Linked DNA regions of Notamacropus eugenii. The protein of the gene in region 1 interacts with the protein of each later gene in a pairwise test. Links are inferred from orthologs where the notes say so. Each region holds a gene or a part of one and is shown on either strand. Other genes may lie near its edges. The genes, in order: CEP76, KIAA1143, CABP5 and C4H22orf39.

What was found.
Region 2: the proteins of CEP76 (region 1) and KIAA1143 interact in binary tests that used the Homo sapiens proteins (3 or more experiments, as listed by UniProt). The two-hybrid records come from large-scale screens. The link is inferred for Notamacropus eugenii from reciprocal best matches to the Homo sapiens genes CEP76 and KIAA1143.
Region 3: the proteins of CEP76 (region 1) and CABP5 interact in binary tests that used the Homo sapiens proteins (3 or more experiments, as listed by UniProt). The link is inferred for Notamacropus eugenii from reciprocal best matches to the Homo sapiens genes CEP76 and CABP5.
Region 4: the proteins of CEP76 (region 1) and C4H22orf39 interact in binary tests that used the Homo sapiens proteins (3 or more experiments, as listed by UniProt). The two-hybrid records come from large-scale screens. The link is inferred for Notamacropus eugenii from reciprocal best matches to the Homo sapiens genes CEP76 and C22orf39.

Annotation. Positions count from the first base shown.
Region 1 is NC_092875.1:229,708,291-229,715,483, forward strand, and holds the start of CEP76 (centrosomal protein of 76 kDa), read left to right. Parts: upstream 1-4,188; 5' UTR 4,189-4,453; coding exon 4,454-4,516; intron 4,517-4,564; exon of another isoform or gene 4,565-4,654; intron 4,655-5,958; coding exon 5,959-6,111; intron 6,112-7,193. Other genes in the region: PSMG2 (proteasome assembly chaperone 2), read right to left, coding at 3,785-3,841. UniProt on the Homo sapiens protein: Centrosomal protein involved in regulation of centriole duplication. Required to limit centriole duplication to once per cell cycle by preventing centriole reduplication.
Region 2 is NC_092874.1:43,554,261-43,562,253, forward strand, and holds the start of KIAA1143 (uncharacterized protein KIAA1143 homolog), read left to right. Parts: upstream 1-4,993; 5' UTR 4,994-5,095; coding exon of another isoform or gene 5,096-5,118; 5' UTR 5,119-5,191; coding exon 5,192-5,584; intron 5,585-7,993. Other genes in the region: kinesin-like protein KIF15, read right to left, coding at 5,100-5,118.
Region 3 is NC_092876.1:11,222,929-11,229,828, reverse strand, and holds the start of CABP5 (calcium-binding protein 5), read left to right. Parts: upstream 1-3,881; 5' UTR 3,882-5,098; coding exon 5,099-5,161; intron 5,162-5,987; coding exon 5,988-6,018; intron 6,019-6,475; coding exon 6,476-6,619; intron 6,620-6,900. UniProt on the Homo sapiens protein: Inhibits calcium-dependent inactivation of L-type calcium channel and shifts voltage dependence of activation to more depolarized membrane potentials. Involved in the transmission of light signals.
Region 4 is NC_092875.1:12,019,945-12,027,039, forward strand, and holds the start of C4H22orf39 (synaptic plasticity regulator PANTS), read left to right. Parts: upstream 1-4,079; 5' UTR 4,080-4,138; coding exon 4,139-4,168; intron 4,169-5,145; coding exon 5,146-5,313; intron 5,314-6,355; coding exon 6,356-6,484; 3' UTR 6,485-7,095. UniProt on the Homo sapiens protein: Negatively regulates long-term potentiation and modulates adult synaptic plasticity. Stabilizes the interaction of RTN4 isoform A/Nogo-A with its receptors, inhibiting clustering of postsynaptic AMPA receptors at synaptic sites.

The DNA.
Region 1 (7,193 bases):
CTCCATCTTTTCCATAAGGCTAGTATGAGACATTTCTAATACTTTGCTAAAATTTAGATAAACCTATAACACTCCCCTGATCTACTAGTACAGAATAAAGTATCCACCTGCATGACTCATTTTTGATGAAGCTATGTAAGCTCATTGTAATCACTGCTTCTTTTTCTACATGTTCATTAAACATCTCTTTAATGATCTATTTGAAAATTTTTCCAGGAATCAAAGTTAAGCTCACTGGCCTGTATAGTCAGTAGATGCTTGTTCTCTTCCCCTCCTGCCCCCTTTTTAAAATTAGAATATCTGCCTTTTTCTAAACCTAGTACCTCAGCCATTTTCCACAATATTTCAAATAATACTGACAGTGGCATAACAATTACATCTGTCAATTTTTCAGTATGGAAGATATAGTTCATCTGGATCAGGTGACCCTAATACATCAAAAGGCAACTAGGTGGTCTCTTACTACTCACTACTTCTCTGGGCCATCAGCACTGTTAGCCATTTTCATCCTTTCATGTCCAGGGCAAAGTTCATTCTCCTCAGAAGAGAAAACAGAAGTAAAATAGGAATTGAGTAGTCCTGCCTGTTCTCATTTGTCATAATTACCATTATTTTGGAACTGTTATCTGTCCTTTGTTCTCGAAGAGGACCAATGACATCAGGAAGGTGATGTCCTGATTTACAGTGAATTGGCTTTAAGTGAGGGAAGGCTGTGCAAAATCACCAGCCTCATCTCTCCTCCAGAGTTATCTGGGTCCAGTGGTAAGATATAGATCAGGATGACCGGAGATGGCCCAAGGTGCAGCGGGAGACCTTGGCCTTTTTAAGCTAAGGTCTTTCCCAGGTCTCAGTAAGCTAGGTAAGACTATTCTGAAACACAGAGATGAGGAAGTGAATTCCAGGTATGATGGGAGAAGGGGAAGAGATGACAGGGTCTTATGCAAACAGAGGTAAAGGACAGAGTCAGAGGAGGGGAAATGCTAGAAGTTCACTTTGACTAACAGAGAGTACATGAAGGAAGATATCATGAAACAAGGCTAGAGTTGCAGACAGAGCCAGAATGCTGAAAGCTTTGAATAGCAGGTAAGGAGTATATATTTTACCCAAGAAACAATAGGTTTTTGAGCTGGAGAGTAACATGATCAGCTATGCTTCAGTAAGATTATTTTTCATTGTCTTTTCCCCTAAACCCTCTCCCACTTCCCTATTACTGTCCAGGGTAACACTATCTTCCCTCAGGCTCACAATCTAAGAGTCATCCTCAGCCCCATATCCAATCCGTTGCCAAGGTCTGTTGATACTATCTTTGCAACATCTCTTGAATCCATCTCATTCTGTCCTCTGACACTGCTGCCACCCTGGTCCAGCCCGTTATCATCTCATACCTGGAGTACTGCAACAGACCACAAGTCTCTCTGTACTCTATTTCACCTTACATCTAGCCACCAAAGTGATTTTCCTAAAGTGCCAATCTATGTCAAACTCCCTTCTTCGCCCCATCAATAAATTCAAATGGCTCCCTGTAACCTCCAGGGTCAAACACAAAGTTCTCTGGTGTTCAAAGCCCTTCATAACCTAGTTCCTACCCCTATTCCCCACACTTTTTCAATCTTCTTATACCTTATCCTTCCCCTGCCCCACCAAATACTCTTCAATTCAGTAACACTGGCCTCCTTATTGTTCCACAAACCAAAAACTCCATCTCTCAGATCTGGGCACTTTCTCTGGCTGTCCTCTATGCCAGGAATGCTCTCTCTCCTCATCTCCACCTCCTGGCTTCCCTGGCTTCCTTCAATCCTAGCTAAAATTCTACATTCTCCAGAAGCCTTTCCCAATCTCTCTTCATTCAAATGCCATCTCTCTTTAAATTATTTCCTATTTACCCTGAATACAACTAGTTTGTACATATTTGTTTGTTTGATCACTCCCACTTTTAGACGAGTGCTTCAAAGGCAGGGACTGCCTTTTCCTTTCTTTGTATTCCTAACATTTAGCACGGTGACTGGCACACAGTACAGATGCTTATTAACCAACTGACATTATTTTGGCAGCTTCGAGGGACAAGATTGAAGAGGGTAAAAGCCTGGATACAGAGAGACCAATTAGAAGACATTAGTACAGACAGAAGACTGAACTACAGTAGCAAAAAATCAAGCAATAATGAAGAGAGGGAGACAAATAAAGATATTAGAGCCGGAAAGAAGCTTAGGGATCATCTAACATTGGTGCTCCCCTATTCCCACTTTATAGATGAGGAATCTGAGGTCTAAAGAGCTCAAGTGATTGACTTAAGGACACCAAACTAACCCAGAATTAGGGCTCTTTCCACTCTATCCTCCTCCATCAAGGATTGGGAAGCATGTTCAGGTAGCTAAACTGCTATTTAGAAGGATCTTTTTGCCTCTACCCAAGTGAGATGATTATCCTTAAAAACCAATTTTATAAATACAAGTCCAAGCATCTCGATTCAGAGTCTAAAGACTTGGGTTTGAATTCTGGTCCTATTACTTACTACCTGAAAGACCTAAAGGAAGTCACTAAATTTAGCTGCTTCTTAGCTTCCTAATATGTAAAATGAGAAGATTAGACTGGATGACTTTTATCATCTCTTCCAGTTTGAAATCTTATAAGCCTATATCTTATCTTCCTTCTTATGAAACAGCTAGTGACAATTATGGAAAAGAAACAGAAAAATAACTTTTCTCTCTGTCTAGGAACTTAAGTGGACATTATATTCTATTGGGAAAGAGAGAATAAAGAGCAGGTACCTCAAAACGTAAATACAAAAAAGATATTAAAGAAATTTCAAGGAGAGAGTAATTAGGGGTGGAATTCAATAATGACTTTTTCAAGGAGACAATACTTGAACTGAGCCTTGAAGGAATACAGGAATTCCAAGAGGAGGGGTTAAGGAGAGAGCATAAATAAAAGGAAACTTCAACAAGTGGCTAATGTAGAAGGGCTGTGACAAATGAATAAACAAAATGAAAACTGTCCAAGGTGACCTTTTTATTTCCTCCTTGATATGCATGGTATATCACATACAGGGCTGGATTTGGGAATAAGGAAGACCTGAATTAGAATCCTGACGTTTACCAGCTGTGCGACCTTGGGCAAGTCACTTCACCTCTCTCACCCAGTCTTTTCTCTGATCTGTAAAACCACTGAACTCGCTGGGCTCTAAAGGTCCTTCAGCTCTAAATCTGTGATCCTAACTAAGACCTGCAGGTGAGCTTGACGTAGGGGCTGGAAGCTGTTCAGGTTGCTTTAGTCATCAAAGCCCTTAATAATCCGGCTCCTTTCCACCTTCACAATCCTCTTTAATTCATTAAACTCCCCTCCATTTCCTCTGAAGTCCTGGCCGTCCACCGTTCACAACTCTCCATCTCCCAGCAGTGCTCTCCCCCACCCGCCCTCCATGGCTTTCCTGATTACTTTCGAGTCTCAGCCGAAGTCCCACCTTCTAGAAGAAGCCTGTCCAGTCCTCCTCCATTCTAGTGATGGTCCCCCATTGTTCCTGGCCAAATCTTCAGTACATGGTTGCTTGCCTGTCCTCTCCCCTATTAGACCCTAAGCTTCTGGAAGGCCGGGCCTATCTTTTGCCTTTCTTCTTTCTTCGCATGCCCTGCGCTCAGCATAGGGCCTGGCACACAGCAGGCGCTTAATAAATGCCAGCTGACGGACTAGCCCACGGCTCACAGGCGCGTGCAGGCCCCGTACCAGGTCCTGGGTCCCACCTCGGCACATCGCGCCCGCAGAGCCCCGCTAAGGCGGAGAGACTCACCATCAGCAGGGTGAAGCCAGTAAAGTCGGGCTCTGACGACCCGCAGGGAACGAACATCGTCACCCCGGAGGCAGAAAGCCGGACAAGAGGGAGAATTACGAGGTACAACAAAAGGCAATCTGTTCGCAGCGCGCCAGCTCTGCAGCCCCTGGACGCAGCTCCGGGCTCTAGAGGAAAGGGGCGGGGCGGGGCGGGGTCCTTCTTCTCCGTCGGCGCCGGCCCGGAGCAGGACTATCCTAGCCAAACGCCTGTCTCGCTCGTGGCCAGATCTTGCACTGGTGGGGAGAGGATCCCGTCAGGGGAGGTGGATGGCGGAGGTGGGAAAACTGAGGAAAGCCATGTGGGGAGGAGGGATTGGAAGAAGAAGGCGCGAGCGAAAAGCAGGCAGACAGGAATCAGGCAGTACGGCGGGCACCCTCGCACCTTTTCTCTCCGCCGCAGTTTGAAAACAGTTGCGGCCCGCTCCTGTCGCCTGGGTTGCGGACGTGGTTCCCGCCCAGAGTGGGGCGCTTACGCGGCCGGGCAGTCTGCGCGGGGAGGCGGCGCGCGGCCTGCCCGGGGTCCCGGCTTAGCGTAATACCTCGGGGCGCGGCGGGCGGGTCGTTTGGAGCTCCCGGCGGGAGAGGAGGGAAGGGGAGGGGAAGTGGCAGTGGAGCCGCCGGCTTCACCATGTCTCTGCCGCCGGAGAAAGCGTCTGAGCTCAAGCAGCTCATCCACCAGCAGCTCAACAAGGTGAGGGCAGCGGCCCGGGGCGCGGGGCCTGCGCGCACTGACGGTACCCCGGGGCAGGCGGAGGAGACAGCCACCTTCGCCCGCCTCCCTGCGGGGCTCGGCCCGCCCGAGGACTCTTCTCTGGCCGCTTAAAGAAAGGTCTGCGCCCGGCGAGGACGTTGGGAAGGTTGGCGATTAGACCTCGGGAGGAACCAGCGCCCTCGAGGCAGCGGGAGCTGTCCAGGGCAGCACTGCGAGCCCCGGGGATGCGCCCGCTGGGGCTGCGGAGGTCCGGGCTCGGGGCAGGTCTGGCCTGGGTTTGCTCCCACGATCCGAGGGGGATCCAGGCCCTCCGATGTTTACTGGGCAGAAGTGCTCGTTTCTCTATTTCGGTAACTGTAAGAAAGTACAGGGAGAGGTGCGATTGCACATCTCATAGAAGGACAAGCTTTCTGGGCAGCATGAAATACATAGGCGCAAATTATGCGTAGGTATTCATATTATGATATATGTTTGTGTATATGTGGAGGATGCCCCCAAAGTCAGAATGAGTTTAGGAACTCTCATTTTATGTGTGTGCATGTACATATGAATGTACGTTCACATACACATACATCCATGCCTATGTACAAACACAGGATCAGTTTTTACTGGTCCTTAATTTTCTGCAAAGAGTTATTTTTAATAGAGCCCTGTTATTAATTATGAAAAGACCAAGGCAGATACACACATACGCATACACTTTCCTAATGTGGATCTATATGATTGACGTTTTCTGGTAAACTTTTGAGTGTCTGTTGTAGATAGAGACCAATGTGTACTTAAAGAACATCAGATTTATATGGTCATGCTGCCGAAGTTTTGGCAAGTACTGAAAGCTGGAATGAGCAGTGCAGCCCAGAGATAAAGGCGAAAACTAGAACTTGAAAGTATCTGCCTTCTGGTCAGAGAGATTAAGGGAGAGATGCAGCAGCATAGGCTCGTTGGGGGCAAAGAAACATTAGAAAAGAGGTAAAGAGATCGCTTGAGGGTGCTGCCTTGGCACTAGAGGAACAATTTGGTGTTTAAGATGCTGAGTCAAAAGAAAGGATGTTTCAATTTTCTGAATACCAGTGGGGAAATTTTGATGAAGGTTCCAAGTAGTAAAAGATAGTAAATATTTCCATTAACTAGTATTAAACTTTAAATTCTTAAAAAGTAAGTGATAGAATCAGTTTTTATTATTGCTTCTTTTTTTTTAACCAAATTGTTACATAGTCTATTTATTATCAATGTGGAAAGGCCAAGATTCAAACTTGGGTGTTTATTCTATATTTTTTCCACTTATTTTTGCTTTACTGCTGTATATCCCTTTGTAAAACCAAACCTGTTTATTAGTAATGTTTAACTATCATTATATCTATTGAAAATTTATGGGTTGCTATATAGAAGGGAAAAAATATAATGTTAAGTTCTCTATGTAGATGGATGTCCATGGCAGGATAAGAGAAGTCCTTGCTGAAACTATACGAGAAGAATTGGCACCAGAGCAACAACTTTCAACAGAAGATTTAATAAAAGCCCTTAGACGCCGAGGTATCGTAGATGATGTCATGAAGGAGCTCACTTTTGTTAGTGTAAGTAATCTTTTAGAAACAACAACTCTGTAAATACATTGGAACCTTACTATAACACTGGACCATCCAAGGTTCATGTTAAGGAGTTGCTCTGTAGGTAAAACCACCCTAAAAATCTGTCTTAGCATTTTATTAACTAAACATCCTTTCTTTAGTTAATACTTACCTATAATGAATTCTGCTTTATGGTAAATAGTATTTTAGTGTAGTTCCACAGTATTGCTATTGGGTAAAAAAATTCCCATCTCCCAAAGTGATACAATTTTTTATTTTTATCCTTCAGACATGTTTATGAAAATGGTTGTGTTTTAGGCAAATTAGTTTAGCATCGCATCCTGGAACAATTCTTATACTTTTTTTGTTGTTGTTTCTTTGGCTGTCACACTCACCTAACTTGCTCTTTTAATAAAATTATAACAATCTCTCATCACAGGCAAGCCTTCCCTGAATTCTTATGTCTTTAGACTTGAACCTATTACTAACTTAGTCTGACCACTACATATTTTTCATTTTGATTCTAAAATGACTTTACAAACTTTGTAAACCAAAGATCAAGCTATAGTCCACTTTTTAAATGAGTTTAGCTGTTGACATCAAACTCCCTTTTGTGAAACAGTCTTAGTAACTAAAAATAAAGCTGTTCATTTCTTTAAGTAAGAATAATTCAGGAACTGCTTTAGTACTATAAAATCAATTGGCAAAAATAGGTCATTTAGTGATATAACAAATTCCCAATGCAATAGTGATGGTGACCAGACCTCTTTTGTAAAAATAAGTCATAAAATGAGAAACTGTGACCTAAATTACTTGGTAATGTGTTAAAGGAATTGAGATGATCTTGATAATACACCAGAGACTAAGTACTTTAATACAACTTACTTTTTTGGTGACTAAAACTAATGAACCCATTTGTTGTAATTAACCTAATAACAGTTCCTACTGCATAATTGTCACTACCTCATTAAAATTAGTTCATAATAGGAAAGGTATCAAAATTCTCTTTGTAGGGTGTATAAAATTTAAATGTTATTCCAGAACTTTAAGACTTAATCATTATGCTGGTTCATAAATAAACTAGGTTT
Region 2 (7,993 bases), on another chromosome or scaffold:
TGATTGGTAAACTATATACTGCTAAAAGGCACCATAGACAATGAAGCAATATCATTATTAAACATATACGCTCCAAGTGGTATAGCATCCAAAGTCTTAGAGGTGAAGTTAAGGGAGATGTAGGAAGAAATAGACAGCAAAACTATGCTAGCGGGGGACCACAACCTCCCCCTCTCTCAACTTGATAAATCTAACTTCAAAACAAACAAGAAAGAAGTTAAGGAGGTGAACAGAACTCTGGATAAGGTAGATATGATAGATCTCTGGAGAAAACTAAATGCAGAAAAAATGGAATACACCTTTTTCTCAGTGGTACATGGCACATACACAAAAACTGACCATGTACTAGGCCATAAAAGCCTCACAATCCAGTGCAGAAAGGCAGAGATAATCAATACATCCTTCTCAGATCATAATGCAATAAAACTTATATGTAATCAAAGGCCATGGAAACATAAACCATAAACTAACTGGAAACTAAACAACGTAATCCTAAAGAATGAGCGGGTTAAACAACAAATCATAGAAACAATCAACAACTTCATTCAAGAGAATGACAGTAATGAGACAACCTACCAAATCTTATGGGATACTGCAAAGGCAGTTCTTAGGGGAAGTTTTATATCTTTGAGTGCCTACATGAATAAAATAGAGAAAGAGGAGATCAATAAATTGGGCATGCAGAAAAAGCTCAAAAAGAGCAAATTGAAAATCCCCAAGTAAATACCAAATGAGAAATACTGAAAACCAAAGGAGAGATCAATAAAATTGAAATTAAGAAAACTATTTAACTAATAAAACTAGGAATTGGCCTTATGAAAAAACCAATAAAATTGATAAACTTTTGGTCAATTTGATTAAAAAAAAGAAAACCAAATTATCAATATCAAAAATGAAAAAGGTGAACTCACCTCCAATGAGGAGGAAATTAAAGCAATCATAAAGAAATTACTTTGCCCAACTGTATGCCTATAAATTCGACAATCTAAATGAGAAGGATGATTATTTTAAAAGATACAAATTGCCCAGACTAACAGAAGAGGAAGTTGAATATTTAAATAACCCCATCTCAGAAAAAAACATTGAACAAGTCATCAGTGAACTCCCTAGGAAAAAATCTCCAGGACCAGATGGATTCACAAGTGAATTCTATCAAACAGTTAAAGAACAGTTAATTCCAATTCTATATAGACTATTTGGGAAAACTGGGGAAAAAGGAGTCCTCCCAAATTCTTTTTATGATGCAAATATGATTTTGATACCTAAACCAGGAAAAGTCAAAACAGAGAAAGAAAATTATAGACCAATTTCTCTAATAAATATAGATGCAAAATTTTTAAATAAGGTTTTAGTAAAAAGAATATAGCAACTTATCACAAGAATCATACATTATGATCAGGTAAGATTTATGCCAGGAATGCAGGGCTGCTTCAATATTAGGAAAACTATTAACATTATTAATCATATTAACAACAAAACTAACAGAAACCACATGATTATCTCAATAGATGCAGAAAAAGCTTTTGACAAAATATAACACCCATTCCTATTGAAAACACTGGAGAACATAGGAGTAAATGGAACTTCCCAAAAAATAATAGGCAGTATCTATCTAAAACCTTCAGCAAGCATTATATGCAATGGGGATAAGCTAGATGCATTTTCAATAAGATCAGGGGTGAAACAAGGATGTCCATTATCACCACTATTATTTAATATGGTACTAGAAATGTTAGCTGTAGCAACAAGAGAAGAAAAAGAATTTGAAGGAATTAGAATAGGCAAAGGATAAACTAAGTTATCACTCTTTGCAGATGGTTTGATGATCTACTTAGAGAATTCCAGAAAATGAAGTAAAAAAACTACTTGAAATAATAAACAACTTTCGCAAAGTTGCAGGTTACAAAATAAACCCACACAAATCTTCTGCATTTCTATATATTTTACCAACAAAGCCCAACAGCAAGAGATAGAAGGAGAAATCCCATTTAAAGCTATGGTAGACACTATAAAATATCTGGGAATTTACCTGCCAAAATAAACCTGGGGACTATATGAACACAAATACAAAACATTTTTCACACAAACAGTCAGATCTAAGTAAGCAGAAAAACATCAGTTGCTCGTAGGTGGGCCGAGCCAATATAATAAAAATGACAATTCTACCTAAATTAATTTACTTATTCAGTGCCATACCAATCAAACTATCAGATAATTATTTTGTAGAGCTGGAAAAAATAATATCAGAATTCATCTGGAAGAACAAAAGATCCAGAACATCAAGGCAACTAATGAAAAGAAATGCTAGGGAAGGTGGCCTAGTTCTACGAGATCTCAAATTGTATTATTAAGCAGCAATTATCAAAACCACTTGGTACTGGCTAAGACACAAAAGGGTAGACCAGTGGAATAGGTTAGGTACCCAAGACACAGTAGTCAACGAATACAGCAATCTATTGTTTGATAAACCCAAGGACCCCAGCTTCTGGGATAAAACTCATTGTCTGACAAAAATTGCTGGGAAAACTGGGTAATAGTATGGTGGAAACTAGGCATAGACCAATGCCTGACACTGTATAGAAGAATAAAGTCCAAATGGGTACATGATCTGGGTACAAAGATTGATATTATAAACAAATTAGTGGAACAAGGAATAATGTATTTATCAGATTTATGGAGAAGGGAAGAACTTTTGATGAAATAAAGAGATAGAAAACATTACGCAATCCAAAATGGATAATTTTGATAAAATTGAAAAGTTTTTGCACAAACAAACCCAATGCAACCAAGATGAGTAGGGAAGCAGAAAACTGGGAAAGAATTTTTGCAACTAGTATCTGTGATAAAGGCCTCATTTCTAAAACATATAGAGAACTGAGTCAAATGTATAAGAATACTAGTCATTCCCCAATTGATAAATGGTCAAAAGATATGAACAGGCAGTTTTCAGAGGAAGAAATCAAAGCTATCTACAGTCATACGAAAAAATGCTCTAAATCACTATTGATCAGAGAGATGCAAATCAAAACAACTCTGAGATACCACATCACACCTATCAGATTGGCTAACATGACAAAACAGGATGATGATAAATGTTGGTGAAGATGTAGGAGAGCTGGAACACTAATTCCCTGTTGGTGGAACTGTGGGCTGATCCAACCATTCTGGAGAACAATTTGGAACTATGCCCAAAGCGCTACAAAAATGTGCATATTCTTTGACCCAGCAATAATGCTTCTAGGACTGTATCCCCAAGAGATCAAAAAAATAGGAAAGGGTCCCACTTGTACAAAAATATTTATAGCAGCACTCTCTGTGGTGGCCAAAAACTGGAAATCAAGGGAATGCCCATCAATTGGGGAATGCCTGAATAAATTGTGGTATATGAATGTAATGGAATTTTATTATAGTATAAGAAATGATGAACAGAAAGACTTCAGAGAAGCCTGGAAAAACTTATATGAACTCATGCTGAGTGAAAGGAGCAGAACCAGGAGAACTTTATACTCAGCTACAACCACAGTGTGCAAGGATTTTTTCTGGTAGGCTGAGAACTTCACTGCAATGCAAGGACTTAAAAAATTCCCAATGGTCTTTTAAGGCAAAATGCCTTCCACATCCAGAGAAAGAACTATGGAATTCTATTGCAGAACGTAGCAGATCATTTTCTTTTGTATTATGTTTTGGTATGTCTTATGATTTCTCCTATTCATTTTAGTTCTTCTATGCAACATGACCAAGGTGAAAATGTATTTAATAGGAATGTATGTGTAGAATCTATATAAAATTACATGACGTCTCAGGGAGGGAGGGGGGAGGGATGGGGAAAGGAGGATGGAGGAGGGAAGGAGAGGCAAGGAGGGGTAGGGAGGGGGAAAAATCAAAGTTATATGGAAGAGGTTGTACAACGCTGAAAACAAATAAAATAAATTTTAAAAAACCAAAAAATATTGATAGGATTCTCATAAGCAAAAGCTCTTAGAGCTTCTCAATAGTTTTCAAGAGTATAAATGGGTGGTGAGACTAAAAAATTTGAAAACCACTAGTCTAGTGGTCACCTGCCTCCTGCAAACTTCCCAGAGAAGTTGTGATCAAATTCTGTTTTAATTTGTGTTTCTAGCACCTAAAGCAGTGCCTTTTATCAGGCGCTTTATGTACATGTGTTCAATTGAATTAAGTACCTGTGAACCTACAACAGATAGTTTAGTGAAAGCATTTATCAAGCTTAATAACAATATTTTAAAACTCTACTTTGCTTCCGTTTCCTCATCTCTAAAAAGAGAAAAACAGTTCCACCAACTTAACAACAAGAACAAAGTGTAACAGCCCTTTCAAGATGTCAGATTTAGACCTAAGGGTTCAGCAGTTTCTATTCTGTCATTTTTCAAACGAGGAAAACTGAGTCAGAATTCACAACCAGGACCCAGCATCCCATATTTAAGGCTGGAAGGGACCCCTTCATTTCACAGGTGAGGAAAGAAAAACAAAGGAAAATGAAGACTGGTAATCATGATAATCATTAAGGCATTTCTGTAGCAATTACAGATTTGCAAAGCATTGTAAATATATTTTTTTATTGGTATACATGTTGATACATCCATATCTTTCATCTGATTATTGGTCAGTCGGGCCTGAGTCTTTGTGACCCCATCTGGGGTTTTCTTGGCAAGGGCAGTGGAGTGCTTTGCCATTTCCTTCTCGGGCTCATTTTACAGATGGGGTAACTGAGGCACACAGGCTGCAGCGGCGGATCTGAACGCGCGTCCTCCTGACTCCGCTGGACCCTCCACCTAAGCACCACGCGGCTGATCAGCGTTACAAGCCTCAGATTATTACTCGTTACGCATTCTATATTACACAGGGTCACGCATTCCGTAAAACACCGCGTCACTGCGTTAATTACAACCTAATTAACGGGGCGGCCACGGTAGGAGGAGCCTGGGAAGGTCCCTCCCCTCCTCCCCCCCCCCCCCCCCCCGGGGGCTTCTGGTCCAGGCCGCGTCCAGCGGGCCTAGGTACCCCAAGTGGGGATCGCAGCCTCTGGCAGCGACGAGTCTAGGATCCCTCCTCCCCAAACCCGTACACACTCATTCACTCACCTTTGACACCAGGTGCCATCACGCTCCCGCTCCCCAAACGTGAACCCCAACCCCGGGTCTAAGGGAGAGCGGAAACCTACAGTACAAGCAAAATGGCGGTGTGTTTGAATTTGGCGCTAGGCGGCCGGAAAGGGGCGGAGCGAGCACGCCCCTGGAAGCCTCGATGGGAGCGCCATGGAACGGGCGGAAGTCAGCGGAAGGACGCAGGGCCCCTATCACGTGTCGAGGAGGTACCGTCGCGGATGACGAGTCCTTGGCCCCGCCCCCGGGTACGGAGGCCGGCGTGGGAGGAGGCGTACTCTCGCTTCCGGGAGACGAATAAGATCCGGGGCCCCTTTGCCTGTCTCCATCCCCGGCCGCTTCCTCGCAGAGAAACCATGAGCAAGCGAAACCAGGTGTCATACGTGCGTCCGCCGGAGCCCGCGTTCCTGTCCCGCTTTAAGGAGAAGGTTGGCTACAAGGAGGGGCCCACCGTAGAAACCAAGGTGAGGAGGCACTTGTCCCGCCCCTCGAGTCGCTAAGGAAACTCCGCCTGGGCCCCTTCACTTCCGGTTGCTCCTGCGCTCTGGAGTCTGGCCCAGCCCTGTGGGCTGTTGCGCATTTCTCTTCCCCAGCCGAGGTAGAGCACCCCGTCTCGGAGCGAGGGCAGCGGGGGGAGGGGGAGGCTTGGAGTGTGAATCACGTGCAAGACTCGAGTTCGAGTCTTTCCAACGACGCTTCCTGGCACGGGAGCCCTGGGCAGGTCACTCACTTTGCCGGTGTCTACCTCAGTTTCCCCGTCTGTAAAGCAGGGATAGATTAGCACCCCCCCCCCCCGTTCCCCTCACGTTTATCAGGATCAGAAGAGATACTATGATGCGCGCAAGGAATCTTGCAACTGTAAAAATGTTACATAAGCTTTGGTTATTGTTACATTGTTACTGTCACTCTTGCTTGAGGGCGGGTCCCTCACTTCTTAGTGGTAACAGTAACAGGAAAGGGGCCCCGGATATTATGTGGCACTTTAAGGTTTGCAGAGGGCTTTACAATTGTCATCTTATTTGAGCCTCACCACTGCTTTAGAAGGTCCGCAGCACTGTTATTCATCCCATTGCCACATAAGGAAACTGAGGCCAGCAGGCAGAGGTTGAGTGACACACCCAGAGGCACACATCTAGTGAGGGTCAGAGGCTGTATTTGAATTCTGGTCTTTCTGACTCCTGGCCCATTGAGCTGCCTTGCCTTCTTGGGGGGTGATTGGGGGGCAGGGAAGGCGAGGGGGACAGTGTCCTTGGGGGGAAAGGGGCGAAATTTGGACCAGTTATTGCTCTCTGAAGCTTAAAGCGTTGTCTGCAGGATCTGAGAAGCTAACTGACCTGCTTATGGTCATGTGGCTGATTTGTGTCAAATATAGGACTTGTATTTGATAGGCGGTAGTCAGAACTGTAACTAGTTTGTTTTGCCTGGCCAGCAGCAAAAATTAAAATTTTTTTAAAAAATCTACTTTCAAATTAACTTTTTCCAGAAAAATTTAGTTAGGAAGTTGAGAACCTGGAACCCAGAACAAGAAGGTTAGACTAGGTGCTCACCCCAAACTTTTAGTGTTTTAGTCCTGTAAACTTAAGTGATTTGCCCATGGTCACACAGCCCCCATGCGTAAGAGACAGGACTTTAACTGGGGTCTTCCTGACTATTCTCTTACCCTTGATCCTCTAAAGCTGCTAAGAGGGCAAGGGTCTCTCCTTGCATACTGGATCAAAATGTCTCAGGAGGAGAGAGTGAGGCTGATGACCTTGCACAGCCCTCCCTCACTCAAATCAGTTAACTGCAGTTCATGTCATCACTTCCCTGATATCATGGTCCTCTTTGAAAACAAGGACAAACACAACAGCCCTTGAGCCACGCTGAATTTCATCTAACTTCAGGAGACAATGTACTTAAAAACTACATTTGTGATAGAGACTCAGTACTGAGTAGGATGGGAATAGTCAATGACAATTCCATAGAGGAAGTAGGAGTAGTCCTGAGGCCTTGAAAGAGGTGGAGAATTTCAGCTATAGGGAAGAGGGAAAGACACCTCTACTCAGGGGCATGATACAAGCAAAGATGTAGAGGCCAAGATGGACATAGGTTTTAAGGCAGTAATTTCAGTATTCTTCAAGACGAGAAGTCTTGAAACCCCAGTATCTCCAAATAATCAAATGTGTAACCAGTGAGCCAAAGGGGAAGGGAGAGATACACATGGCACAAATTGACTGCCTCTTTTTCTGACTGCCTTCTAGGAAATCTTTCTGAGCAATTCTGTGATGGAAACCAAAGCTACAGAGCCATAATAATTAAAATTAATAATATTCACCATTAAGAGACTTTTTCAAAGGACTCTATAGTCCAGCAAGTAGTCAATCTAAAGCCAAGGACCCTTTTAGTGAGATTACTGGCCTACCACGAATATGGCATCATTTTGAGTTATTTTCCCATTCGTGGTTTTGCATTAATCGATTCACACCATTCCCATCTTTCCTAGTGGCCAAAGGCCCAGCTTTTAGGATTGAAAGGAATCTGTCTCTGGATGACACCTGAAACCTAATTGGCTCATGTGAGGATCTAATGCTCAACCTTGGCATTAGTATCAAAGAACTCTAACCATCTTCCCAGCTACCCAACTATAGACTGACATAAAACATCTGAGCTAAGCATCATCTCTTCACATGGTTCAATGTAAGCCACCCACCCACCCACTGTAGGCTGTTTAGTCAGATCTTTGAGTAAAGACATTTCTCAAAGGCTGGAAGACAGATGTTCCCTTGCTGTAACTCAATTTAAATGAAAATTCTTTTTTTTTATAACAGCCCAGACAGTCTTAGAGTTACTTCATTTTTATATCTTTCAACGTGGCCTGGGTATTGTATAGATTA
Region 3 (6,900 bases), on another chromosome or scaffold:
AGCACTCTTGGCTGGGCGTCTCCAGTAGCAAAGCAGTACTTCCACCACCCCTCAACTAGGAGCTTACACAGAGGTGGGCTGCATGTCAGAACCACAGCCACAGACCTGGGAGGAAATGAATTTTAACTCTGCTGTCCTAAAGCTATTGGAAGAGTGGTGTCTGTCCATGGTGTTTAATGCCTCCCATTCCTTCCCCCAATCCAGACAACCAGACTAACCATGCCCACTGATTAGCTTGACTGAGAGGAAGAAAAGGGCTTTGTTGTTGAGATGACAAGCATGTTTTAAGCACCTATTATGTGCCAGCTGCTGTGCTAGCAGTGGTTAGAAAGCTCCACCCTTCCACAAAAACCCTTTCCTAGCCCACCTTTCTGCTACCTGCCCCCAGCCATGGGGGCACTTCATCTTCCAGACTTAATCCAAATGCTGATTTTGATGGTTTTTAGCTATTGCTTTATAGGAGGGTGAGGCAATCACAAGGGACCCAAGAGTTTGCCCTTGGATCTCTGAGCACCAATTTTTGGCCTGAGGTAAAGAAAAAAAAACTTCTTAACAATTAAAGGTAGACCAAAGTAGAACAAGCTGCCGTGGGAGGTGCTGGGTTGCCTCTTTCTAGACAGAGGTCTTCAAGCAAAGAATGAATGGCTATTGTTGGAGATGGAAAGGGGCTTCTATTTAAGTGCAGGATGAATTAGGTGGCTTTAGAGTTCCTTCCAGTACTGACAGTCTGTTCCATGAAAGGACAGAGCACTGGTATGTCCTTTATGCCTTCCTTTTCAGAGAAAGATGGAAAACAGGTTGCATTGAATGTCATTTTCTGGCCTGGCCTAACCATATTGCTTAAGGGCCCTAGAGGGAGGTCAGGTCCCCTGAGGGAGTCTCTGGGGATTAGAGATCAGATCAGAGTCATGGATTGAATCCAACACTGTACACTTCTATTGCAAAAGATGTAATGACAACCTTTATCCCTTCATACCTCCATCTCCGGTGAGATAGAGAGATGATGATTGAACTGGAATCAGAAAGGATTTTTGTTCCCTCCAACTCCATGGAAGTCTCCTCTAAACTTGTTCTAAGGAGAGATATTGGGTTCCATTTTATACTCCCAGGGCTTCCAGTTTGTCTTCCCAATCCAAAAGATTTCTTAACCAAACAAGGGATAAATAAAATAGATAATTTTGCTTACATGAAGAATGGAAATTGAAAGCCTGGGAAAAAACTTTGCATCACATTTCTGATATGGATCTGGTAGTTAAGATAGTTAGGGAACTAGCAAATAAAAGAGTAAGAGGAATTTCCTCAGTGAAAAAGTTCTCAGCACCAAAGTCCTTGACTTGAGTCAATGGTTTAACATCAGAAGCATATATGATTTATTAATAAAAGTGACATTAGAAGAGATGCCATCATGCACCAAGGACCACAGAATTCTTCCATCTGACTTGCAGCTGCAACTCCTACAAATGTGCTCTCCCTTTGGTAGGATGTGAATTCAGTGAGGGCAGAGCTGGCTGGCTTTTCTGTTTGTGGAGCTTAGCACAGTCCTAGAGTGGATTTTGGTGAGCTTAAAGCTGTGTGTTGAGAGCTGACATAACTGACTCCATTTTGTCCTATATTTACAACTTTTTGCTAAGTGATGCCTCAGCCTGTGCTGCAGGGACAGTTTAAAGCAACCTCTCTTCTTTAGCATTTCCCTTCCTCTAATTGCTGTATGTCTGAAACAGAGGACTCGGAGGATTTGGACCATTCAAAAAATTGACTCTTCTTTATCTTACCTGATAAATGAGGTGTTATTCTCTTTGAATGAGTGGGAATGTCAATGCTAACAAGGACATGTTCCTTCCCTTGTAATTAGTGACAAGCATCTTCTCTACTGACTGAGTACATCTCCTAGTTTCTTACTCTTCTCTGGCTCCAGTAAGGACTGGGGATATGAAGAAAGGCATAAAATAGTCCCTGCTGTCAAGGACCTTACAATCTCATGGGAGAAACTATGCAAACACCAATGTACAAACAAACTATACACAGAATAAGTTATGGGGAGGGGAATCAAGGAGAACCTTCTGGGCCTGGAAAGGTGTTAGCATCCATATGCAATGGAGGAAACCAAGTCCCTTTGAGCAGCACTGAGTTATCGCAGGGGATGATGGATGGAGGTAGGTCAAGGGCTTTACTTCTAGCCTCATACAGCTGCTGGCTTTTACTCAAAGGGCCAGTGATCCAAACACCCTCATGTCAGCTTTTCTTACCCAGTACAAGGGTTAGAACTGGTCCCTGCTAAAGTCAGGGGTAGCTGCTACTGCTCTCTTGACCCAAACCTAATGTTTTTCTGTACAGTCCTGGGTGACCAGACTAGCCTCCACTTGCAACTCCAGTATTACACATTCCTCTCTCTTCTCCCTGTTTCTGCCAAACTTAGAGTCCCAGGATAGAGACACACAGAAAACTAGAGAAGATAGCAAGACACAGAGAGGGACAAGGAAATGAGGATATAAGGAGTTACAAAATGAAACGTGGATGGAAAAATCTAGACATAGCCTAAGACACTCAAGAGAGACAGGATGATATGGGGAGACAGAAACAGAGACAAAGACAGCCTGAGGAAATGGCTAAAGAGCCAAATCAATCAAACAATACATCACGTATTTATTAAACACCTTCTGGGTGCCAGGCACTGTGCTGCCTACTGGAAATACAAAGAGAAAGTGAAACAATTTCTGCCTGCAAGGAGTCTACATTCTATGAGGGAGATAACATCTACCTCTGGAAGTATATATGCCCTGAACAAGTCCAACTCAATGCAAGATAGTTTAGGGAGGGAGAGAGCTAACAGTTGGCAAGGTCAGTTAATGCTTCAGGTAGAAAAATAGTGATTGACTGAACTGGAAACAAAGTTGATGACAATGGATTGGGAAATGGCTAGACAAACTGGTCAAGGAATGCGATGCAGTATTACTGTCTGTAAAAAATGGTGACTGAAGAACCTAGAGAAGTGGGGAAAGGCTTGTATGAACAGATGCAGCAAATCAGTAGAATCATGATATGACAATGTCCATGGAAAGAACTACAACAGCTAAGCAACTGAAATGGAATCTTGCAAAATTCTGATAAATTTATCCCCAAAGAAGGAATCTGAGAAGGCACTTTTTGCAGAGGTGGAAGCCTCTCCCCATCTCTGCCTCTTGACTTTCCTGACTTTCTTCAAGTCTCAGCTAATGATCCACATTCTACAGGCCTTTTTGGTCCCGCTTTACCCTTAACGTTTTCTCTTTCTTGATCATCTTTGATTGGTTCAATATGTGTCTTATTCATACACAGTTGCTCACATCTCACCTTGCCACTGGGACCTCTGCAAGCAGAGATTTTTTTCACTATTTTTTATCCCTAGTGCTTAGCACAGTGCCCAACAACACATGGTGGGTGCTTACCAAATGCTTCTTGACTTGAATCATGCTGTATCATGTCAGCTATATGATATTTTGGAGAAGGGGAAAGGCAAAAAAAAGAAACATTTATGGAGCACTTACTATGTACCTGGAGCTGTGCTGAGTGCTTTTACAAATGTTATCTCATTTGATTCTCACAAAAACTCTGGGAGGTAGGTAACTTATTATCTCCATTTGACAAATGAGAAAACTGAGACAAACAGAGGTTAAGTGATTTGTTCAAGGTCACCTAGCTGCTAGGTATCTGAGTGGATATTTGAACTTAGGTCTTCCTGACTCCAGGCCCAGCACCCTTTACACTGAGCTACCAGCAACTTCTATGCTACTTGGTTTTACAAAAGTTTCCCTCTTCCTCTTTTTAAAATTCTTTATCATAAAAAAGATGGCTTTCTGAGGGAGGTAATTGAATAAGAGTTGTGAGTTCTATGGAAAGAAAAATTGTCAATAAAATTTTAAAAATGAATATAATGCTTTATTGGAGTCTTGGAAGTCTTAGGATGTATTGGAGGAGTACAGACAGGGGAGACAGCTTGGGTGAAGGCACTGGGGAAAGAAACAAGGAATCATGGGGAGAGGAGAGAGAGCCAGAGAGAGACACACACAGACACACACACACCCAAAGAGAGAGGAAGAGAGAGAGAGGGAGAGACAGAGACAGACAGACAGACAGACAGAGACAGAGAGAGACAGAGAGATAGAGAAAGAGAGACAGAGACACACACAGAGAGAGACAGAGACAGAGAGAGAGGAAGTGGTATAGAAAGATCCCTATGGGAGACAGGGACAAAGATGCAAAAGAGACAAAGAAACAGAGAGCCAGAAGTGACAGACATAAATAGAGATTTGAGAAAATAGAGTGACAAATGGCCCAACAAGGAGAAAAGGACCAGTATCAGCATTTCTATTTCCAGATGGAACATCTGGCTCATTGTGTCTGTCTATCATGACCATTGCCCCTAAAAAGGCCTAAGATGCCCCTGCCATAGGGCATCTGGTCATTGAGGTCCTAATTGTTTAGGCTGGGAAACTGATGCTACAAAAAGCCAGCCCGTGACCTGCCTAGGATGATTTGGTGGGTCCATGCCCCCGATTCTTCACACACTGTGTCCCTCATGCCCAGTTATAATTGCTCTACCCAGGAATTCCCTGCCACAAATCTGTTCTGGGGATAAGAGCCAAACTGGGATGACTTCCTGCCCTGCAGCAGATGGAGAGGCCAGGCCCACCTGTCTCTCTCCTCCTCCCCCAAGCCCCAGAGGAGCCTGGGTCCCAACTGTCACTCTTCTTCTCCCCCCTGCCCCAGAAGAAACTGTGTCCCAGCTGTCACCCACTGGATTCAGAGACTAAGACTGAACAGAGACAGAAGCAGAGACAGAGACAGAACAGACTGAGGGAAAAGAGATAAAGAATAGAGAAAGAGGGAGAGATATACAGAAACAAACAGATTAACCCACCAGAAGACAGCTCAGAAAGACAGCAAAGAGGAGATACAGAATCTGAAGGGACCAAAAACAGAGAGAGAGAGAGAGACAGAGAGAGAGAGAGAGAGAGAGAGAGAGAGAGAGAGAGAGAGAGAACCATAAAAAGAGACAAGAGGAGGGCTGTGAGCTGTGAGACCTCTGCAAGATCCTGCATCCTGTTCCCTCTTTGGCCCCATGCAGTTCCCCATGGGACCAGCTTGCATCTTCCTGAGGAAAGGGATTGCGAAGAAACAGAGGGTGAGAAATGGATGGGGAAAAAGGAAAGAAGGAAGGGAGAAAAGATAGAAATGTAGATCTGGAAATGTAAGGCAGCTCAGAGGCCCTCTAGTCTGGCTCCTTCATTTCATAGATGAGGAAACTGAGGTTCAGGTAGATATAATGGAATATTTGTAAAGAAATATTTGTAGAGTTTTGCAAACCTTACAACACTATGCAGATGCTTGGTATTACTAATAGAAAAACTTGGCCAAGATCTCACAGGTAATAAACAAGAGAACGAGATTTGATCTCAAGACCCCTGATTCCAGTAGTCTTTCCTCTGTCCCATGCTGGAAGGAGATGGAAGAACTTGAGAAGAGAAAGGAAGCAGAAGGAGGTAGAAAGTTAGGGGGAAAGGCTAGAGGAGAAGGAAAGCTTAGAAAAGCATGAGGAAGAGGACTGAGGAAGGAGGAGAAAGCAGTTATAAGGAGCTGGAAGAGGAAGAAGAAAGTTGAAGGAAAGAGGTCAAAGAGGAAGGAAGTAGGTGGATGGCAGGTTGGGAGAAATTCTCATCCAGGTGAAGGAAAAGGAAGGAAGTGGAAGAGGAAAGAAGGAAGATGTTGTCAAGGAAGGAATAGGAAAGAGAAGATGGGGAGGGAGCAGAAGCTGGATGAGCGCTGAGGGAGGGGTTGGTGATCCCAGCAGGGGCTGCCAGGAAAGAGGATGTGCATGAGAGGGTATGAATGGCCTCCAGCTCCTTCTTTCAGGACCCTGGAGAGAGCCTGAGGGTCACTGAGTAGTCCTGAAAAGGATCACTCCTGTCCCTGCATCTACCCATCACTCTTTCCTCCTGTACTTTCTTCAGGATCGTCCACTAGGACCAGATGAGATTGAAGGTAACCTCCTTGCCCTTCTCCCTCCCCTGTAGTCCCTCTGAAGCAGCTCCATCAGACCCTCTTCTCTTGCCATGTTCTCCTTACTCCTACTCTAACTGCTGTCAAGGAAATGGTTTCTTGCGATAGCTTATCCCCACCACCAGTTCCCCCAACTCGGTCTCTCCTGGTAGTTTCAAGTTCCCATTCACTGGTGGTATTTCCCCAGAAATTTTAAGTCCTGTAATTTCAATGATTTTCAGTTCCCATTTATCTAAATCTACCTCCATGGCAGTGTCAGGAATTCCCAACTGTCTTTCATTGACTCTGGGAATCTCACCCCTGCCCACTCCTGGCTAGTTTTCATCAATGCCTCTTTTAGAGGCCAAGTCCTGTTCCCAGGAGGAGATCTTGCTTTCCCCCACTTTGTTGGTTTCCAGGCTTCTTATAATCTCCTTCCCATTTCCTGACTTTCTCCTAGAACTTCGGGAAGCCTTCCATGAGTTTGACAAGGATCGAGATGGTTTCATCTCCTGCAAGGACCTGGGAAACCTGATGAGGACTATGGGTTACATGCCCACTGAGATGGAGCTGGCCGAGCTGGGACAGCAGATCCGAATGAACCGTGAGGGTTGGGGTGGAGCAGGGGAAGATGGGGAGGGCTAAAGACAAAATGATGATACTCTTAAATTTCTACAGCTCTCAAAGGTTTTCAAAATGTTTTCCTATCAGGTAGACAATGCAAGTATAGTTTTCGCCATTTGACAGATGGGGAAACAGATTCTGTGAGAGAAATGGTTTATCCAGAGGTACACAGCTAGGGAAGTGGAAGAGCTGAAATTCAAACCCAGGCTTTCCAAATTGGAGTGCAGGGTCCCTTTTATGGCTCTTGAGGGAGAGAGGTCA
Region 4 (7,095 bases), about 220 Mb from region 1:
TGCAATCTCTTGACTTTAGTTACTAGATTTGTCAGGGACAGAAGATATTCACCAGAGGATATTTCATGACCTGCTGTTCGTTTCCTTTAGAGTTTCTTAAGAAATACCTCCCCTGCCTAGCCCAGGAAGCTTCAGGACTTGGTGGCAGTGTGCTTTCTGGGAAAGGACCAGCCAAACTGAACTGTCTCCAAGTCACCAAGGCAGCAGGCAAGCCCTCTGCACCTGCCCCCAGCAGCTGGGGGGACCGAGCCCTCCATTGGCTCGGTCTGGGCCATGGGTCCTTTATCTCTGACTAACGTGGTCGGAGAAGGACAGCATGGTCCACACCTAGAGGGGCCAGGGACCTTCTGTCCATTGGTCCTCTCTTATCCCCCACCTAGAAATGCCATTCGATCCACTCTGTGCCATGGACCACAGTGGTCACCCTAGAAAGGGTTTCTTCCTGGTGTTTTCTCTTGATTTGTCCAAGCTACAGAGCCCCCAGAAAGAAGCTAATAATTGGCGGCCCCTTCATTGTCGAGGCTGACAGTGAAAGTCATTGTGTTCCCTTAATAAATATGTTCTGTAGCAACTGCCTCCAATGCTTGTAAAGCCTTGGGACACCAAACATGGGAGCTGAGGTTTGCTGAGGTTTCCCTGGGTTCTCGTCAGCATGGTCAGTGTGGCTTTATGACTGGCCTGACTAAACATTCTGGGCCTCATTCATGCTGGCTGGACAAGAGGACTGACTGCCATATTCTAGATTCTCCAGTTCATCTGGACTTGGGTCTTGGCTTTCTTTGCTTTTTTCAAAAATTTTATTTTGTATCCCAATTATATTAAAAAAGCAATTTTAACATTCTATTTTTTCATATTTTGAGTTCCAAATTTCTTCCAGCCCTGCAATTTGACATAGATTGTATGTGTGTAGTTACGCAAAGCACATTTCCATGCAAGTCATTCTGTGAAAGAAAACAAAAAACAAAACCAAAAAATAAAGACGGTAAAGAAAAAGCACCTGTCATCTGCATTCAGGCTCCAGGTTCTTTCTCTGGAGGTGGACAGCACCTTCACCATGAGGCCCCCAGAATGGCCTGGGGTCATTATATTCGCAGCGGATCGCTGCTACAGTGTGGCCAGTACAGTGTACAATGTGCTCCTGGCTCTGCTCGCCTCACTTTGCATCAGTTCATGCAGGTCACTCCTAGTCTTTATGAGATTTTGGTTTTTTAGCCATACTATTCCTTAGCACAACCGTGGGGTCTCCAACATCCTGGCCCAGCTCTTTGAATCCCTCTTTGGAAGGTTCCTTCGGAATCTGCATTCACAAAGGAGAACAGGGAATCCTTGACCCCTGCGCCACATCAGTTTTATTTCTGCCAGTGATCTCTTAGGAAGTGCCCTGCTGTGTGCCAGGTGAGGGGCATTGCATAGCACATAGTCATGCTTTGTCATCCAGTGGCCCCAGCCACTGAAAGAGGCCACAGAGATTACAGAGAGATTCTTTTGGACCTTCCAACTGTGCTCAGTTCCTTCTAGCTCCTGATCGCTGGGCCTGGCCTAATCCTTGCAGCCAAGCTTGGCCATGTTAATCAAGTGGGGTGGTGACCTGCTCTTGTGCTTTTCCTTAAACCTCTGCCCAAAAGAGAAGGGAACAGCTGAGCAGGCCCACGTGTAGGGAGAGCACCAAAGGTCTTCATGAGTAGGGACAATGTGCCCCTTACTCATTAGAGGACAGCAGATGGCAGCATGCACCTTCTTGGAGTCCTGAGTCCTGGTGCTGGAACAGATGATCCCATCTCTAAGTTGGGGCCCAAAGAGGCCTTGCTGGGGTTCTGTGTTCAAAGCTAAGTGGAGCTGAGAGTCTGCAGTGAGACCCCCATGGGAGCCAGAGGCCCCTCAGTCAACTGGAGGCACCTGCCCCTGCTGAAGGACAGTGCTCCCTGGCCTGCAGGCTTTCTAGGTGGCAGCCTCATTCAGGAGCTTTGACTTAACTGAACCTTGATGATTAGATAATGAAGAACATTGCCATAGCACCAGGCTGGTTCCTCTTTCCTCTAAGCTACATTGTTTGTGTGCCAAGGCAAGCTTTAGTGCCCCTCATGGAGGCCTCTGTCATTGTCACTAGAGAAGGCTAGAATGAGGAGGGATTCTAGCACCTCCTCCTCGCTCTGATTTTGGCATCCTTAGCCCAGTCCTGCTGTTCAGTGCCTTAGAAGCTTGGAGAGGTCACCACCATTCGGCCTTGATTTCTTTGGCTCTAGAATGATTGCCAGCATCCCTTCTGACTTAACGCTGTGTTTTTTCTCCCCAGCCTTATGTTCTTCATCTGTAAAATGGGAATCATCAGGACTTGTCCAAACTGTACCCAGTGTGGAGTACTTTCAGATATGCTTCTGAGAGGCCCCCTAGCACTAAGCCAAAGGGGTCTATTAACCTGGGGTCTATGAACTTAATTTTTTTTCTCTGATAACTATTTCAATGGAGGGGCAGTGAAGTGGCACTGGGCCTGGAGTCAGAGTACCAAAGCTCAATTCTAGCTCAGACACGTGCTAGCTGTGTTTTCCTGGGCAAGTCACTTCACCCTGTCTGCCTCAGTTTCCTCATCTGTAAAATAAGCTGGATAAGGAAACTCCAGTATCTTTGCCAAGAAAACCCCAGACAAGACCCAACCGTGGGCAGTCAGGCCATGTCCTTAGCCATGTCCCCAAGTAGCGTCTTTGTCTCACTCTGCCCCGGGTTCCATCAGCTCTGTCTGGGGTCAGGGTCCTCTGGAGCCCCTGACAGTCTCCTTGTTTATTCCAAGCTGGCTCCCTGTTTCCACGGCCATCACTGAAGCCAGCCTTTCCCTAAGGCCTGGAGATTTGTCACTGCTCCTGCCAAGGTCTCCACCCTGGGCGGGGCGCAGCAGCTGTCACTACATAAGCCCATTCTGCAGAGGAGAAGGCTGAGGCTGGGTCCAGGTAGGGGATGCCCGCAGCTGGTCCGAATTCAGGCCTACCTTCCAAGGCCGGCTTTTGGATCGGAGGGGGTAGGGGGGCTCATCTGATCCAGCCCCCTCCTCTCTAGATGAGCTGAAGAGATAGAAACAGGGGCAAAAGGGGCCATTAGCTAGAGTGCTGGACTTCGCTGTCAGGGAGCCGGGCACAGGACTCCCGACCGCCTCAGAACCACAGACCGCTAGCCTCGCTCCATGCCCCTGCCTAGTGGCACTGAGTGAGAATGCCCCCCATCCTGATGCCTGGGGAGTGGGGGTGGGGGACACCCTGCCCAGAACCAGAATCTCCTCCCCGCGAGGGGGAGGGAGGAGAGAAGCTCCTACTGTGTGCCAGGCACCGTGCCAAGTGCTCTTTGCGGGGAGGTCTCAACCCGCAGGCTGGCCAGGAGCAGGGGAGACACCCGGGTGTAAGCAGTGCATCCAAGCTGGGGGCATTAGCGGGACCCTCGTCCTCACCCACAGCCCACTGAGCTCTGCGCCCCTTGAGCGAAGGGCGGCCCCGGAGCCTGGCACGGCGTTGGCACATAGTAGGTGCCCCATGATTCTTACTGACAGACGCACGTCGTGCACCAAGTAAACGCGGGGGGATCGGGGGGCAGGGGTGTGAAGGGAAGGGGGTCAGGACGAGCTCTGCGTGAAAGGCGGCCCCGGAGCCTTGAAAGAAAGCAGGCCGAGGTGAGGAGGGAATCCCAGGCATCCGGGACAGCCAGTGCAAAGGCTCGGAGAGGAGAAACGGAGCGTCCTGCGGGACGATTCAAAGGCTAAATCCGGAGGGGAAGAGACAAAGGGGGAGGGGGGAGGGGACGCCCCCTGTTTCTGGAAGAAGGAAGAGTGAGCTCCCCGTCAGACCCAGTCTTCAAGCAGAGGGGGAGAGTTCGGCGGGATGCCAGCGCACGGAACGGACACGATTCCTGGGCCCAGTTAAGTCTCCGGTTCCGAGGCTGGGCTCGGACCCCAGACCCGCAGCAGGCGCCTCAGCCCAGCTCGGCGCGGGGCTCCCCGGGGCAGGTGAGCCCTCCAGCCCCGCCTCACCGGCCAAAGGATTGGCTGCTTGGATCTGGGAGCTCATTGGTTCGTGGGTCTGTCCATCACTCCGCAAGAGGCTTAACCCCTCCTATTGGCTGATACCCTGAAGAGGCGGGGCGGGCCAGGAGCTGCAAAATGGCCGACCCTGAAGAGAGCTTGTGGAGGGTTCGTGAGGGCGGACGGGGGTGGCTTCAGGGGCCGGGAGAGGGATCAGGAGCGAGGCTGGGGCAGGACGAGGGCCGGTGGGGAGGCCGGACAGGCCTGGAGGCTGGGGGAGTCGGGCCTAGGACTGGAGGCTGGGGGCGGGGCCTAAGGGCTGAGGGGCGGGACTTAGCTGTGCAAGAGAGGAGGAGGGCGGCAGGGATTGGGGAGGGACAATGGGCTGGTGGGAGGAGCTAGGAGGGAGGAGGGCGTGGCCAGGTATGAGGAGGCGGGGCTGACAGTTGAGGTGAAAAAACTTGAGAGTTGTCGGGACCGGGAGAAAAAAAAACCTAAAGGGAGGGCCCAAACCCTAAGTGTGGGAGTGACTGTGGATTGTAGGGGTGGAGATAGAATGCCACGGATGGGCGGGGCTAAACTTGAAGGGGCGGAGCCCATGGAGCTTGTCTGAGACGGGAGCTTCCAATAAGGCTAAGGAGCTCCAAACTGGAGGTAAGGTAGTGGGCGGGGCCTACCTGAGGTGAGCGTGGTCGATGCTGGGGGCCTGGCCTTGAGGCTGGGGGCGGGGTCAAGAGGGAAACTGACAAGTTGAGGGAGTCTGAGAGGACCTGGGAAGAAAAGCCGGCTATCTTGAGTCTTCAGAACACTTCCTTGGATTCAGCCAACATTGGGAAAGGACCTACTGTGTGCCAGCCACTGCTAGGGCTGGGGATAGAAAAGCAGAAATATGAAATCATCTGACTTTGAGGAACTTACCGTCAGCTCTGGGAGGTCCGGAGGCCCCAAGTCATTCCTGCAATCCCACTGCAGGCGTTTGTGGCCAAGATTCAAACCCAGAACTCTCAGCTCTTCTGTGACTGCATATGGAGGGCCCCTGAGACAGGCGGGGAGGAGCAGCCCCTGGCCACACACCCCCTCTATGACCACCCTGGGCTGGGACCCTCGTCCTGAGCCTCCCTGGTGTCTGCCTTTCCCCTCTGCAGCCTCCCCGGAGCTGCGAGGATTACTGGGCTGAATGGAAGCACTGCCGGACGCTGAGGAACTTCCTTCATCATTACTATACCTACGGGGAGACCCCGGCCTGCGCCCAGTGGAAAAGCGATTACCAACACTGCCAGCAGTGGGAGGAGAGCGGGAGTCCCGAGGCCAAGGTATCCCGGGCCAAAGTCGGGATTTGGTTAGCCCATCTATCCTGCAGAGAGCCGGGGAAGCCCCGGGTGGGAAGGTCGCTGTGGGGAGCAGGGGCAGAGGCCCTCGTGTTGGGGGGCAGGGACTGTGGGGAGAAGCCCTGGGGAGTGGGTCTGGGCCTTACCTTCAGCTCGGGCAGGGAGGGGATCAGCCAAGGAATGGGACCCCAGGACTGCTTGAAGAGCTCAGCAAGCCTAGGGCACTGAGGATAGATCAAGGATCCTAGGGTGGGGACACCTGGCGTGGGTGAATCTCGTCTGCACCTGAGCGGTGGGAGCTCAGTCACCCAGATTCACAGAAAAGGGGAATGTGAGCCTCCTGCCCTGGGCTGTGACATGAATGAATGACCGTTTAGACCAGTGAAACATGGGTGGGAGGGGGATGGAAAAACCAATGGACCCACCGGGAGTGCAGCAGGGCTGAGGCTGGGGGCTTCCAGGCATGGGGGCAGCCAGGGAAGGGGCTTGGAGAAGTGAAAGGGCCCAAAGGGCCTTTTTGTGTCCATAGCCCCAGGGCTTGGGGGGAGGGTCTGCAGTCTTGAGAGGGGAAAATTGGGAAAACAGATGCAGTGATGGTGGGCCATCTGCCTGTCTAGCACCCTTCTGGGCAGGAGGGGTGTGAAGGTTCTAAAGGGGCAGCTGAGCAGTAGCCGAGCCCCAGTCCCGGGGCCACTTTAGGGGCCGATTTTACAGATTGCATTCAACTCAGCACTTATTAAGCCCCTTCGGTATGCCAGCTTCTGGGGATACAAAGACAAACACAAGCCCAGCCCTCAGGGGGCTTATCCTCTAGAAGACAGTGAGGCTCAGCAGATTGCCCCTGGTCACCCGGCTGGCAGTGTTAAAGCCGACTCTCTTGTGCTTCTGGACACACCCAGAAGGCCCGGGTCCACAAGGGCCCTTAGTTAGGGCTGGCTCTCTGCAGCCTCCCTGGGAGGTGCTTCTGGGAAGCAGTGAGACCCTAGGCCTTCAGGCGGGGCATAGAACCGGCCTCTTGTTTGTACAGGAGTCCCTCCGCAAGAGCGAGCAGGCCCGAATCCTGGCCAAACAGAAGCATCCCCCAGTGTGGACCATGAGGCAGAGTCCCCCCAGGGACTGGCACTCGCCTCTGCCCGGGGAGGAGAAATCCCAGTGAGGGACCATGTGATGGAGAAGATGGGCTGACTTCATCAAGGAGTGAGTGGACCTGACCCCACACCAGCCAACAGCTTCTCCAGCTCCCCTTTCTGCCTCCTGCTCTCCATGCCCAGCTAGCCAGTCCATCACCTTCAAAGACTAGGCACTGCCCAATTGGCTGCTGATCAGCACATTCTTCAGATGGCAATATATATGGTTCCCTCTCCCCTACCACTGGGAAGAGGGAATCCAGAATACCAGGGTCTTGTGCTCTGGGGACATCAGGTTGCTCCCCCTCACACGTGTGTGAAAGGTATGTTGGGCCTCTAGTTACCTCTAGGGCACCTCCTGTCTCGGTCCTGCCATGATGCTGGCTTGGTCTGCCTGCCCCGCTCTGGTCAACATGCCCAGCACCTGCCGCTGCTCTGTGGGGTACTTGTGGCTCCCTGCCTGTGCCATGCCCTGGCCTGTCCACACAGGCAGCAAGTGAACCTAGGGCCCATCTAGTCCCTAGGGACACAGGAGGCCAGACTAGACTGCCAGGCTTTGCTGATGCCTACCCCCACTAAGGGGGGCGTACGCACTTCATGCTCCAGAGGAGGACCCTCACAAAGGGCCAGGCTTTTCACA